3 linked regions of the Ovis aries genome follow. The protein of the gene in region 3 interacts with the protein of the main gene of each other region in a pairwise test. Links are inferred from orthologs where the notes say so. Each region holds a gene or a part of one and is shown on either strand. Other genes may lie near its edges. The genes, in order: MYL6B, AKAP7 and SPA17.

Region 1 (4,242 bases), on a different chromosome or scaffold from region 3:
TTGGTGGGTGCGGGTGGGAAGAGGAGCCCTCCCTTTCCCTCCCCCACCTCTAAAGAAAGCAAGAGTCGGAAGCTAAGGGAGGAAACGTCTCTTTATTTTGAAACAATAGCCTCCTAGTGGCAGGAACGTGCTTTTGCCTGGTGGGAGCCCAGCGTCCGACGCCACTGCACCTGTGGAAAAAGATGAACGTTGCCAAATCCTGCCGCTGTCGGCGCAGCAAGACACGGAAATGCACTTCCTTGCTTTTGTACGCAGGCAGAGGGACAAGAAGGAGGCTTGCCTCCCAAGGCGCAGTGAGAGTGCCGTACCTGCATTGCTCAGACGCTTAGGATGTGCTTCAGGAAGGCTGCAGAGAGAAGAGGCAAGAGGGGCTTCAGAAGCTGGCCTGATGATAACCCATCTGACTTTAGATAATTCAGGCTTCAGGATGCCTCCACCCACATACCTCGGGCCTCCTGCCTCCCTCTTCCCCAGTCGTTTCTGCTCCTCTGGCCCCTCACCTTCATAGTTGATGCAGCCACTGCTGTCCTCATGTCCTGCCAAAACAGACTCCACCTCCTCTTCAGTCATCCTCTCTCCTGGGCCCAGACACAGTGTTTTAGCCCCTGCCTTCCCTCCCTTATCAACCCATGCCTCTTTCTTCTGGTGGCACCTCCTCTTCTCCCACCCTGGAGACTTGCCCATAGTAACAGTCCCCCAAGAGAATTCCCTCTTTGTAGTGGGCATGCCTTGAATGTGTCTCTGAATCTTGCTTTCCATTTCACCTCAATTATAGGTGGTGAAAGCTTTGACAGACAAGGAAACTGAATTCCAGAGGATTAAAAAACAGACCATATCATAGAGTACAGCCATCTCTTCCTAAGACTGAAACTCAGATTTCCCACCTCGTTCCCTTTCCTCTGCCCTTTGGGAGACAGCTGCAGCCCACTCACTTTAGACTGAAGGAGGAAGACCTTCAGATCCTGTCCCTAAGGCTCTGACCTTCTCAGTCTCCTGCCCATGACCCATAGGACAGTAATCCCTCACTGGCTCTGCTTACTTGGCTAACCTTCTTAGTTCATCCCCTCCTCTCAACACCCCCAGGAGTTCTGGTCCCTGTCTCACCCAGGGTGGTGAGGACATGTCTGAGCTCAGCTCCCATGACTTTGCCATTCTGCTCTTTGTCAAACACCCGAAGCCCCTCCAGGTAGTCCTGGTATGAGCCTCGGTCTGGCAACTTGGCGACTGCCTGAAGCATGGGCAGGAAAGTCTCAAAGTCCACACGCCGGGACTTCAGCTCTGGAGATAGAGAGGTGAAGGAGAGGTTACTACAGTGTCACCTAGGACCCAACTCCCATCCCCACCATGAAGGGTTTCATCTGTTCAACATTCAGATATTTTTCTGCCCTTATGTTTGACAGTTTTTAAAGTCCTGGGACCCACCTCAGCATCCTTTATCACCTTACCAACATTCCACCACCAAACTGAAAACCCGCATTGTCCCAGAGGTGCCCTCACCATCACTCTTGGGGTATCCCATGACCCTGAGCACCTCGGCGTTGGTGGGGTTCTGGCCCAGAGCCCTCATCACGTCCCCACACTGGCTGAACTGGATCTTGCCATCCCCCACTCGGTCATACAGCTCGAAGGCCTCCTTGAACTCTGAAGTGTAAGGAGAGGTCAGTGTTGACAAGGGGTTCCCATCACCACCAACAGAAAGGAAATTCAGAAACAATGTGCTTGAGCTGGGCAGAACAGAGAACACAAGGAGCACTAGTGTGGGAGGTTTCAAGGTCGGGAATAGAGGTAGGGGAATAGAAAGAGGATCTGACTAGGGACTTGGGATGGACAGTGGGATCAGTGGCGTCTCCTCACCCTCCAGCTGGTCCTTGTTAAACTCGATCTGTGGAAGAGAAGAGCATGTGAGGAGAGATGACAGGACTCACTCAATCCCTCTCCAGCACTCCTCCCGACCAACTGGCAGCCACTTCAGGGGAGGGGCCCATAGGGACCAGGCTGGGAACCCAGCCATCTCAGTCCCATTCCCAGCTCCAGAACTTGGGAGAATCCCAAGAGGAGGAATTATTGGGGGGAGGGTTTCCTGGGAACAGGGTTAATCCCATGCCACCTGTTCCCCTCCCTCTACTGCCCTGAGCCCTGCATCCCTCACATAACTGGGGGCTGAACAAAGGCTAAATTTACCCCTGGCCCCCAGCTGTGATTGTCTAACAAGTCTGTCCTCTTCAGCCTTCCCTCCTGGGGTTCAGAGCTGTGGCTTTTCATATTGAATAATCAGACAGGCACAGGCAGCAGCTCCCCCCTTTCACCTTGAAACTGTCCTCAGAACCCAGATGTTCCCCATCTTACAGGCTCTGCCTCCAGCAGTACAGTGAGAAAGTGATGTACATACACACACATGTTATTGGTTAGAGGCAGAGGGCAACAAAGACAATAGAGTCATTAAGCTTAGATGCTTCCGGCGGGGGGTGGGGGGTACTAAGAAAACCCCCCACCATCATCCAGTGCTTACTGATTCCCTACCTTCTAGATACCTGCAGTCCCCTAGGCTACATCCCACTGTTGTACCGACTCCTCCATTCTCTTCTCACTTTTCAGGGACTTACCACCACTTTGGAGAGATCGATGGGGGGCTCCTGGGGTTTCGCAGGTTTCTCAATGATTAGAGGGACAGGTGGTGGTAGCTCAACCCTGGATGGAGGGGGCCCTACTGCGGGCTTAGCAGCAGGCTTGGAGGCAGCAGGGGGCCCCACTGGCTTCTTCACGGGAACATCCTTCTTGGGAGGCATGATGTCGGGTGGCCAAAGGACAGTGTGCCGATGGGGGCACCCATCTCTGTTTAAATAGCCAGGGAGTCTGGGATGTCAAGGGGCGGGGGCAGGGGCAGGGAGCCAGTTGGCTGGGGGGAGGGTGAGATAGAGGAGAGGTATGCCGGCTGCCCTCACTCCCCTGGCCTTGTGTGGTTCAGGACTCCTGCCCCAAGGTCTTCTCCCTTCTGTCCACCCCGCCCCAAATACTGACCAGAACAATGGCCCTTTGGGGGCCGGGGGAGGAAGTCAGAGACGGCCCAGAACGGGGGGGGGGGGGGGGGGGGGGAGTTAACTTTCAGGGTGCAGATAAGAGGGTTGCCAGGGGCAAACTGAAACAGGGGTGAGGAAGAGAAGGGGACCCAGAAAATTCCGACCCCCTGACTCGGAATAGTCCTTTTTCCTAGCAGCTTTAGACTCTTGAAGATGGAGGCAAGGATGGGGGCCTTATTAAAGGGGGGTCTGGGAGTAGTGAAAGAGGTAAAAAACAAGCAGGTCTTCCACTTCCCTCTTCCTATGGATGAGGAGCATGGTAGTTCACCCCACAGCTTATAATACTCGGTACCTCAAGTCCCTAACCCCCTCCCTCCCAGCCCAGAACTGGAACTGTGCACTGCACGATACGGAGAAAGAATAGTAATAGAAAGGCGTGACTCCCACCGATTGTCTCCTAGCCCCAGTGTTGTTTTAAGAGTGGGGATGGAGGGAAGGATTGAGTTCAATACCCATCACCCATACTCCGAAGAAAGGAACCCTTGTCCACAAGCCTATGGTCATTCAAGTCAGACAAATACGGGTGCCTGCTGAACCTGTAGGGACTCCATGGTGGCACCTGAGGGGAAAGGCAGGCTCTGAGAGGCAAAGGGCCTAATTTCTAAAATCTCTAATCCGTAAAGATGTGTGAGGTCCTCTGGGCTCCATGAGTATTCAATCCTCAACCAGAAGGATAATAAGACCCTGACTTGGCAGCCAGGTTGCAAACCTTGCTGTGGGCACTGGGGAAAGGTGGAAGTCAGGGGCCTATGAAAGAGGGGAGGGTTTGCTGGTTATTTTTGTACTGGGGGTAAAAAAGGCGATGATTTAGACAGCATTCTGAGGAAGACAGTAGTGATTCCATTTAGGGGTTTAGAGAGTTGATGCTGGGTCTCCCACTCGCAAAAAAAAAAAAAAAAACCATCTGAACCTCATTACTGCAAATCGTCTCATTTTAGGAAAATCAGAATCTCTCCTCTAGCCAGGAGTACCTCACACACATACACACACACACCCCTACACATACACACCCCTAAGCCTTAAATAAAGGAACGAGCCCCTCCCCAGCGCCCCAAAACTCACCCTGCGGGGTCCAGGTAAGGGGCGGAGGCGGGGCACAGGGCAGCCGCGGGCCCTGAAGGGTTAATTTCTGCGGCCTCGGAGCATGCCGGGAGATGTAGTCCTC
Region 2 (3,651 bases), on a different chromosome or scaffold from region 3:
ATTTAGATACATGTTTTTATCTTCTCCATTTTCACATCACTTAAAAAGTATACAAATGATGTTGTCTTGAAGTTCACAATTTTATAAGAAGATTGCCCAGTTTGAAATAGTAAATTTCAATCACAACAGATCAGGTTCCTTTGAAAGACAGCCACATTGCAAACGAGAAATACCCCTGTTCTGGTTTTTCACATTCTTCCTTTGGTGTACATGCTCTACTTGGAAACATAACCGTGTATGAATCTGTCTCATCACAAGCCATCTCCCTCATAAGATGACAGAGCATTTATGCATGAATCTTGGTCTCCCCTCAAAACATATTTTTCTTAAGGAAGAAATTGAAAGACAAGTTTTCAGTCTCTGCAGGCCACCTATGCTTTTTCTTCTCAGAGTGAAACTTTCTGGCCTGGCATAGTCTATTCCCAATTAAAAGCAGCAAAGATGAAAATACCTGGCATAGAAGGCTGTGATCATATAGGCCTTCACTGATGAAAATGCTTTCTTCATATTCACAAAATAAAATTACACTGAAATGAATGTTGAATCAACATTTCAAGACTTCATGATGATTATATTTTAAAGCACAGAAGTATAAAAACTATAGGTACTTAAATCTTGACTGATAAATATAAATACTAACTATGTTCCACAAAATGTTTAATGTATTATTGTCAAAACATAATGTTTAGGAAAATATGTCACTGAGAAAAACATACAACATAAACAATTGCCAAAACAAAATGATGCTGAAAAATCAAAACCAAAGATAATTTTTAAATGCCACTCACCAATTACAATTGAAGACTCACAGTGATAATAGCCATTACTTTGCTTTTTCTTCAGCATGGAGCAAAGATCTATACAATGTACCACTTCTTCTCCAAATCTATGGCCGATAAATTTTTCGTACAATTTGGGGTCTATTTTTTTCACTCCCTTGAAATGACAAGACAAAATCACATCAATCAATCATCTCATTTAGGCAACCAATTCATATCTTTATCACTTTCTTAGAACCTGATAGTACATTTTGATATACAGTCCTGCCTGCTGGCATCTGAAAATGGATACCACAAAATTGCTGTAAAGTTGTTTTTAAAGTCTCTCTGCCTGGAATGAGTTGTATTTTTTTTTTTCAAATTGAAGAGTGTTGAGCAAAAATAATAAGGTATATCAAGTTGAAATTTGAGATATCCAGCAAAGAGAAATCATCTCCAAAGACAATGGAGAAATGGGAGAATTTTTCAGTGACATGGAACCTAACATTTTATAGTGTGTAGAACGTAACATTTGCATCCATTTTAATAAATGGATGTAATTTTTAAATTCCTTATGTAAGACTCATCTGAAAGACAATTAAAGGCTATTCAAATTGGAGTCAATAGGTCTTCCAAGTTTTTCTCCACCTGCCCCTCCTGATTCTGTGTGCTTTCATAGCAGAAATAGGGCTTGTTGCCAAAAAATTAGTAACTTGGTAGTTCCCCCAAACATGGGAAAGAATGTCTCCCTCTCCCCTTACTATACATGGTCCTATGCCTGCCTCATAGTCCCAAAACACAGTCATTGAGATGAAGATACAGTACTTTACAGGGCAAGTTTACTAGCTGGCCATGTGCAAACTTTTCCTTTTAATGTATATATATACATTTACATTGCCCTGGAAATACCTGTCATTTCTGAAACTCAGAAAATATAAAGAATATAGAAAAAAAAGAAAATGAAAAATCATTTATGACCCTGTTATTTATATATTAATAAAATACATTAACCCTGTGATATATATATTCTTCAAGTCTTTCTCTATGCATGTATGTTATTTTCAAATTATACTTACATAAATCTTACTAAAGTATAATTAGAATACGTACTTTCCCTTTTTATTCACAAAAATCACAAAAAAATTTTAAATGCAGATAGAAAACAAATTAAAACACACCAAACTACTACTAAAATTTTATGTATTTTATTTTTCCTATGCATGAGTTGTACCATGAGTATTATCTGATAATCAGCTTTTTTCAGTTAATATGTTAAATTGATAAGTAATAAATAAATGTGAAAAATATTTTTATATTTTCATAGTATTCCATTAGATGGAGATATAATTTATTCACTCAATTCTTTATTGTTGAACATGTTGGGGAGTTAAGGTCCTACATGCCTCAGCCAAAAAAAAAAAAAATATATATATATACATATATATATATATACACATATACATATAACATGGTTTTGTTGAGCTATGTGTTTCAACTGAGCTCCTGATCTTTCCTAACCACTTCAGTCAGACTTCCCCACCTCAGTTAACAGCAACCATGTTCGACTTGATCAGGCTGAAAACCTTGGGGTCATCCTTGATTCTCCTCTTTCCCTTAGCCCTACTTCCAATCATATCGCGTTGGCTCTACCTTTAAAACACACCCAGTTCTTACCACTCCCCTGCCACCTCTGTCCAAGCACTTCTGTTTCTTTCACCTCAATTACCCCAAGAGCTTCCTAACTGTTTTCCCACTGTTTTCTCTTTGGAAGTCAAACTGATCCTATGAAAACATACACCCAGATCATGTCATCCTCTGCTCAAAATCCTCCAAAAGGTCTCCATTTTTCTCAGAGGAGCCAAACTGCCCCAACCAGCCTGCAGGGTCCTGATCTGCTGTCTCTGGACCTCATGGGCCTCGTGTCCACCACTCTCGCCTTCATCCCTCAGCAGCCTCCCCAGCCTCCTCGCTCTTCTGTGAACAAGCCAGGCGGAACCCACCTCACAGTCCCTGTGCCACCTGTCCCCACCTCCTGAAACGCTCCTCCCCCAGATATCTTTATCATCCATCCTCATCTCCTTTAGTTCTCTGCTCAAATATTACTTTCTTAATAGGGCTTCACTTATTACCTTTTTATATAAGAAGATACCTAAGAATTGATGCTTTTGAATTGTGGTGCAAGAGAAGATTCTTGAGACCCCCTTGAATAGCAAGGAGATCAAACCAGTCAATCTTAAGAGAAATCAACCCTGAATGCTCAATGGAAGGACTAATGCTGTAGCTGAAGTTCCAATACTTTGGCCACCCGATACAAACAGATGATTCACTGGAAAAGACCCTGATGCTGGGAAGGATTGAAGGCAAAAGGAGAAGAGGGCAGCAGAGGATGAGATGGTTGGATAGTATCACCGATTCAACAGACATGAACTTGTGCAAACTCCAGGAGATAATGAGGGACAGGGAGGCCTAGTGGGCTGCAGTCCATAGGGTTGTAAAGAGTCAGATACAACTTAGCAACTGAACAATAGGGCTTCACTTAACCATGCCATCCCTCCTCCCCAAGCAGTCCTCCCAAATCCTTTCTCTTTTTCTCCCCCTATACATACTTATGTTTCTCCATAGCACTTACCATCTTCTAACATATTATGTAGTTCATGTTTATGTCACTGTCTGTCTTTCGCTGTCTTTCTCCATTAGAATAGGAGCTCCACACAAGGATTTTTGTCTGATTTTTATTCTCTGAAATATCCTCAGTCCCTTATAGCTTATGGGCTTCCCTAATAGCTTAGTCGGTAAAGAATCTGCCTGCAATGCAGGAGACCCGGGTTCAATTCCTGGGTTGGGAAGATCCCCTGGAGAATGAAATAGCAACCCACTCCAGTATACTTGCCTG
Region 3 (3,651 bases):
CCCCATGAGAATAATTTCCCCATAACAAATTTCCTTTGTTATGTCTGAACCTTTACCACTGTGTGGTGGGGGCAGCCTCGATTAGTGAAAAGTTCCCCCAGTGGAAGAGGAATCTGAACGATCAAGGCTGAGACTGTGATTTTGGTCTGTTCTTCCCCTTGGGGAGATTTTTCCCATCTGTTGACAATCTTGGAAAATAAGATTTTCTTTATAAGCAGAAGAATAGTTTTCTTTATAAGAGGCAGGGCTAAAAATGATCCAGCAGTTAGTACGTCACTGTTGCTAGTTATCTAGAAAGCAAAATCATTATTTTCAGTTCAGTTCAGTTCAGTCACGTCTGACTCTTTGCGACCTCATAAATCGCAGCACCCCAGGCCTCCCGGTTCATTACCAACTCCCAGAGTCCACACAAACCCATGTCCATTGTGTCAGTGATGCCATCCAACCATCTCATCCTCTATTGTCCCCTTCTCCTCCTGCCCTCAATCTTTCCCACCATCAGGGTCTTTTCAGATGAGTCAGCTCTTCTTATCAGGTGGCCAAAGTATTGGAGTTTCAGCTTCAACATGACCACTGGAAAAATCACAGCCTTGACTAGATGGATCTTTGTTGACAAAGTAACGTCTCTGCTTTTTAATATGTTGTCTAGGTTGGTCATAACTTTCCTTTCAAGGTGCAAGTGTCTTTTAATTTCATGGCTGCAATCACCATCTGCAGTGATTTTGGAGCCCCCCAAAATAAAGTCAGCCAGTTTCCACTGTCTCCTCATCTATTTGCCATGAAGTGATTGGACTGGATGCCATGATCTTCGTTTTCTGAATGTTGAGCTTTAAGCCAACTTTTTCACTCTTCTCTTTCATTTTCATCAAGAAAGAGGCTTTTTAGTTCTTCACTTTCTGCCATAAGGGTGGTATCATCTGCATATCTGAGGTTATTGATATTTCTCCCAGCAATCTTGATTCCAGTTTGTGCTTCATCCAGCCCAGCATTTCTCATGATGTACTCTGCATATAAGCTAAATAAGCAGGGTGACAATATATAGCCTTGACGTACTCATTTTCCTATTTGGAACCAGTCTGTTGTTCCATGTCCAGTTCTAACTGTTGCTTCCTGACCTGCATACAGGTTTCTCATTATTTTAGCAATATGGATGAGACTGGATTCATATTTGAAGTATAATTTTAAATTGAGTGAAGTCATTTTTTTTTGTAGGAACCCAACAGTACATGGAAAATATAACTTACTAAGGCTGTCTTCTCTTTCACAGATGTCTGAGAATTTTCTTTTCCAGGCTCATGTTTTTCAGGCGATTCTTGCTCCTGGAGAGAGGGGAGAGGTCCAAATAGGTAATGTTTCCAAAACAATAAAGTCTTGGATCAAACTCTTTAAAGGTGATTAAAGATTAAATTATTGATAAGTACTAGAAATTAAATACATATTTTTAAACAAAGAAAGCTGGTTGGATAAACAAAGAAAACTCTCAAGGGAATAGCATAAACAAATAATAAGACCAAGGAACTGGTTAAAAAAAGTTTGACCTTCTGCTTTTGGAATGTGTGTAATATTGTTTTATATTAAAAACAAGCCATTGTCTTATACTAAAACTTCATATGATGCTGTAATGAACCTTAAACAAAGAATAAAAAAGAGATGCCAATAGTTCCTCAAATAGAAATGAAATAAATCCTATTTTGTTCCATAATGTGAAGTCAAGTTGACTTTTTAATGAAGTTTGCAAAGTAAAAACTAAGTCAAAAAAGTAAGTTTTGCTGTGGGGAAGGATTTAAATAGAAAAAAAGGAAACCAGTTCTATCTTGACATGGTTACTGAAATCTTCCTCCAGAAGAGCAGCATTGTTAATTCACAACCTATGGGGAGAGCTTCTTTAATTCATAAAACATAAATTTAAGGACTTATAAGCTAATCAAATAAAGCCTTTAGGATTCAAAAGAGAAGAAAAATTAATCTAAAATTGCTATGTGACTTAAGATTAAAAAATTTTCAACATTATTCCTTTGTTTTCAATAAAAAAGGAACACAGAGAATCTAGTTAGATGGAAATAAAAAGAACACCTCTATGTCTGGCAGGCACAAATGGATGGAACTTCACTTTTGAACTCATAGAATAAGTCTCAGTGGGATTTGCCCAGAAAATCCCCCAAATCTACTCTGTAATATCATCAAAATTTGACCTTTGTTTTCTAATTCTAGTACCTGCTGATGCTTCATGGCTAAAGTATTATCGTAGTTGTCTAAAGTAGTGCTTCTCAGGCTACATCCAGATTCTGGCGTACCTACAAGTTACTTTGTGGATCTTGTTAAAATTTAACTTCTGATTTGGTAGACCTGGGGTAGAGCTTGAGATTGAATTTCCACCAAGTTCCAAGTTGGTGCCAAAGACGCTAGATTACACATGGCCTTTCTCAACCAGTGTTTCTCATTGGAGTCATAAAACATAGAATGCTTTAAGTGATTATTTTCTCAGTTTTCCCAAGGATGGTACATAAACATAATCATTCTAGATACAAAGGAGAGACATTGATGCCTGACATGCAATGGATGCCTTAGGCTTAGGGCTTAATTATTTCGAGGAGCCTTGGTTGAGAAAGACTGGTTCTGAGAATGCTACTGAGAAGATGGGTTCAGACTCTGAATAGATTGGCTTAATAGAGAAGGCTCTATACCATCTTTAATTCTATTCAGTCTTTTGTAAGGTATCAACAATAATGAATAATTGTTTTATGTGTTTTATTTTATGAAATAGCATTCATTAGTTCAACCACTGTTTATTGCACATCTGCTATTGATAAGCACTGTGATAATAACATTTGCACAATAAGTGAAAGTAATTATTCTATCTCTTTCAAGTACATTTCTCCTGTTGATCATCTATAAATTTAAGCTCAGTATGGTACACGATTCAGATACCTTAGAAAAGAATTTATTTCCATTAAGAATAGCACAATTAAAAAGACTTCATAAGGTATTTGTAATGCCTTTCACAATATTCATGATTAGGCGATCTCTGTACTGGAGACAGAGAGAAGTATTAACCAAATCCAAAAGCTTATCAGGACCATACCTTGAATGCATGGTTGTTATAGAAGCGGTCATCAACCTTAGCCCCCCATTCTGCTGGATCAAAGCTGGTTTCTAAATAACAAAAATATAATTCCAGACTTACTTTGAAGTTCATTAAAGTAAATGCAGACTAGTAACATAAACTGCTTTCTTTTTCAAATTATAGGTCCTTTACTGACCCTTGAAAATTTTATTGACATTGTACAGAGCCTAGTGCTGCAGATATAACCAGTGATGATGATGAATTAAACATCAGATGAACCCTTGAGGATATTTAGAAAGGCAGGCAGTTAAAAAACCTACTTGATGCTTTCATAGAAGTTATAATAAAATGGGAGTGGTAGAGAACAAATGCCACTACTTAAATATCAGTATAGAAATGTATTATTATATACTTATAGAAACTTATTATGTATTAGTAAACATAAGATAAATGTATAAAAATAAATGGTGAATAGTGAGGAAATTTGGAAAAATGAAAGATGGGAAAAGTTTTTTCTTAAAAAAAGGTAGGCATATTATGTAGTCAGGTAGACAGAAGAATTTATATTTAAATAGAATTTTTCTTTA

What was found.
Region 1: the proteins of SPA17 (region 3) and MYL6B interact in binary tests that used the Homo sapiens proteins (3 or more experiments, as listed by UniProt). The two-hybrid records come from large-scale screens. The link is inferred for Ovis aries from reciprocal best matches to the Homo sapiens genes SPA17 and MYL6B.
Region 2: the proteins of SPA17 (region 3) and AKAP7 interact in a two-hybrid assay, tested with the Homo sapiens proteins (3 studies listed by BioGRID and IntAct). The two-hybrid records come from large-scale screens. The link is inferred for Ovis aries from reciprocal best matches to the Homo sapiens genes SPA17 and AKAP7.

The regions. Positions count from the first base shown.
Region 1 is NC_056056.1:163,382,532-163,386,773, forward strand, and holds MYL6B (myosin light chain 6B), read right to left. Parts: upstream 2,814-4,242; 5' UTR 2,787-2,813; coding exon 2,604-2,786; intron 1,883-2,603; coding exon 1,855-1,882; intron 1,642-1,854; coding exon 1,498-1,641; intron 1,279-1,497; coding exon 1,105-1,278; intron 579-1,104; coding exon 501-578; intron 347-500; coding exon 318-346; 3' UTR 309-317; intron 171-308; 3' UTR 74-170; downstream 1-73. UniProt on the Homo sapiens protein: Regulatory light chain of myosin. Does not bind calcium.
Region 2 is NC_056061.1:56,739,897-56,743,547, reverse strand, and holds part of AKAP7 (A-kinase anchoring protein 7), read right to left. Parts: intron 937-3,651; coding exon 789-936; exon of another isoform or gene 1-788. UniProt on the Homo sapiens protein: Probably targets cAMP-dependent protein kinase (PKA) to the cellular membrane or cytoskeletal structures.
Region 3 is NC_056074.1:25,615,253-25,618,903, reverse strand, and holds part of SPA17 (sperm surface protein Sp17), read right to left. Parts: intron 3,154-3,651; coding exon 3,083-3,153; intron 1,320-3,082; coding exon 1,245-1,319; intron 1-1,244. UniProt on the Homo sapiens protein: Sperm surface zona pellucida binding protein. Helps to bind spermatozoa to the zona pellucida with high affinity. Might function in binding zona pellucida and carbohydrates.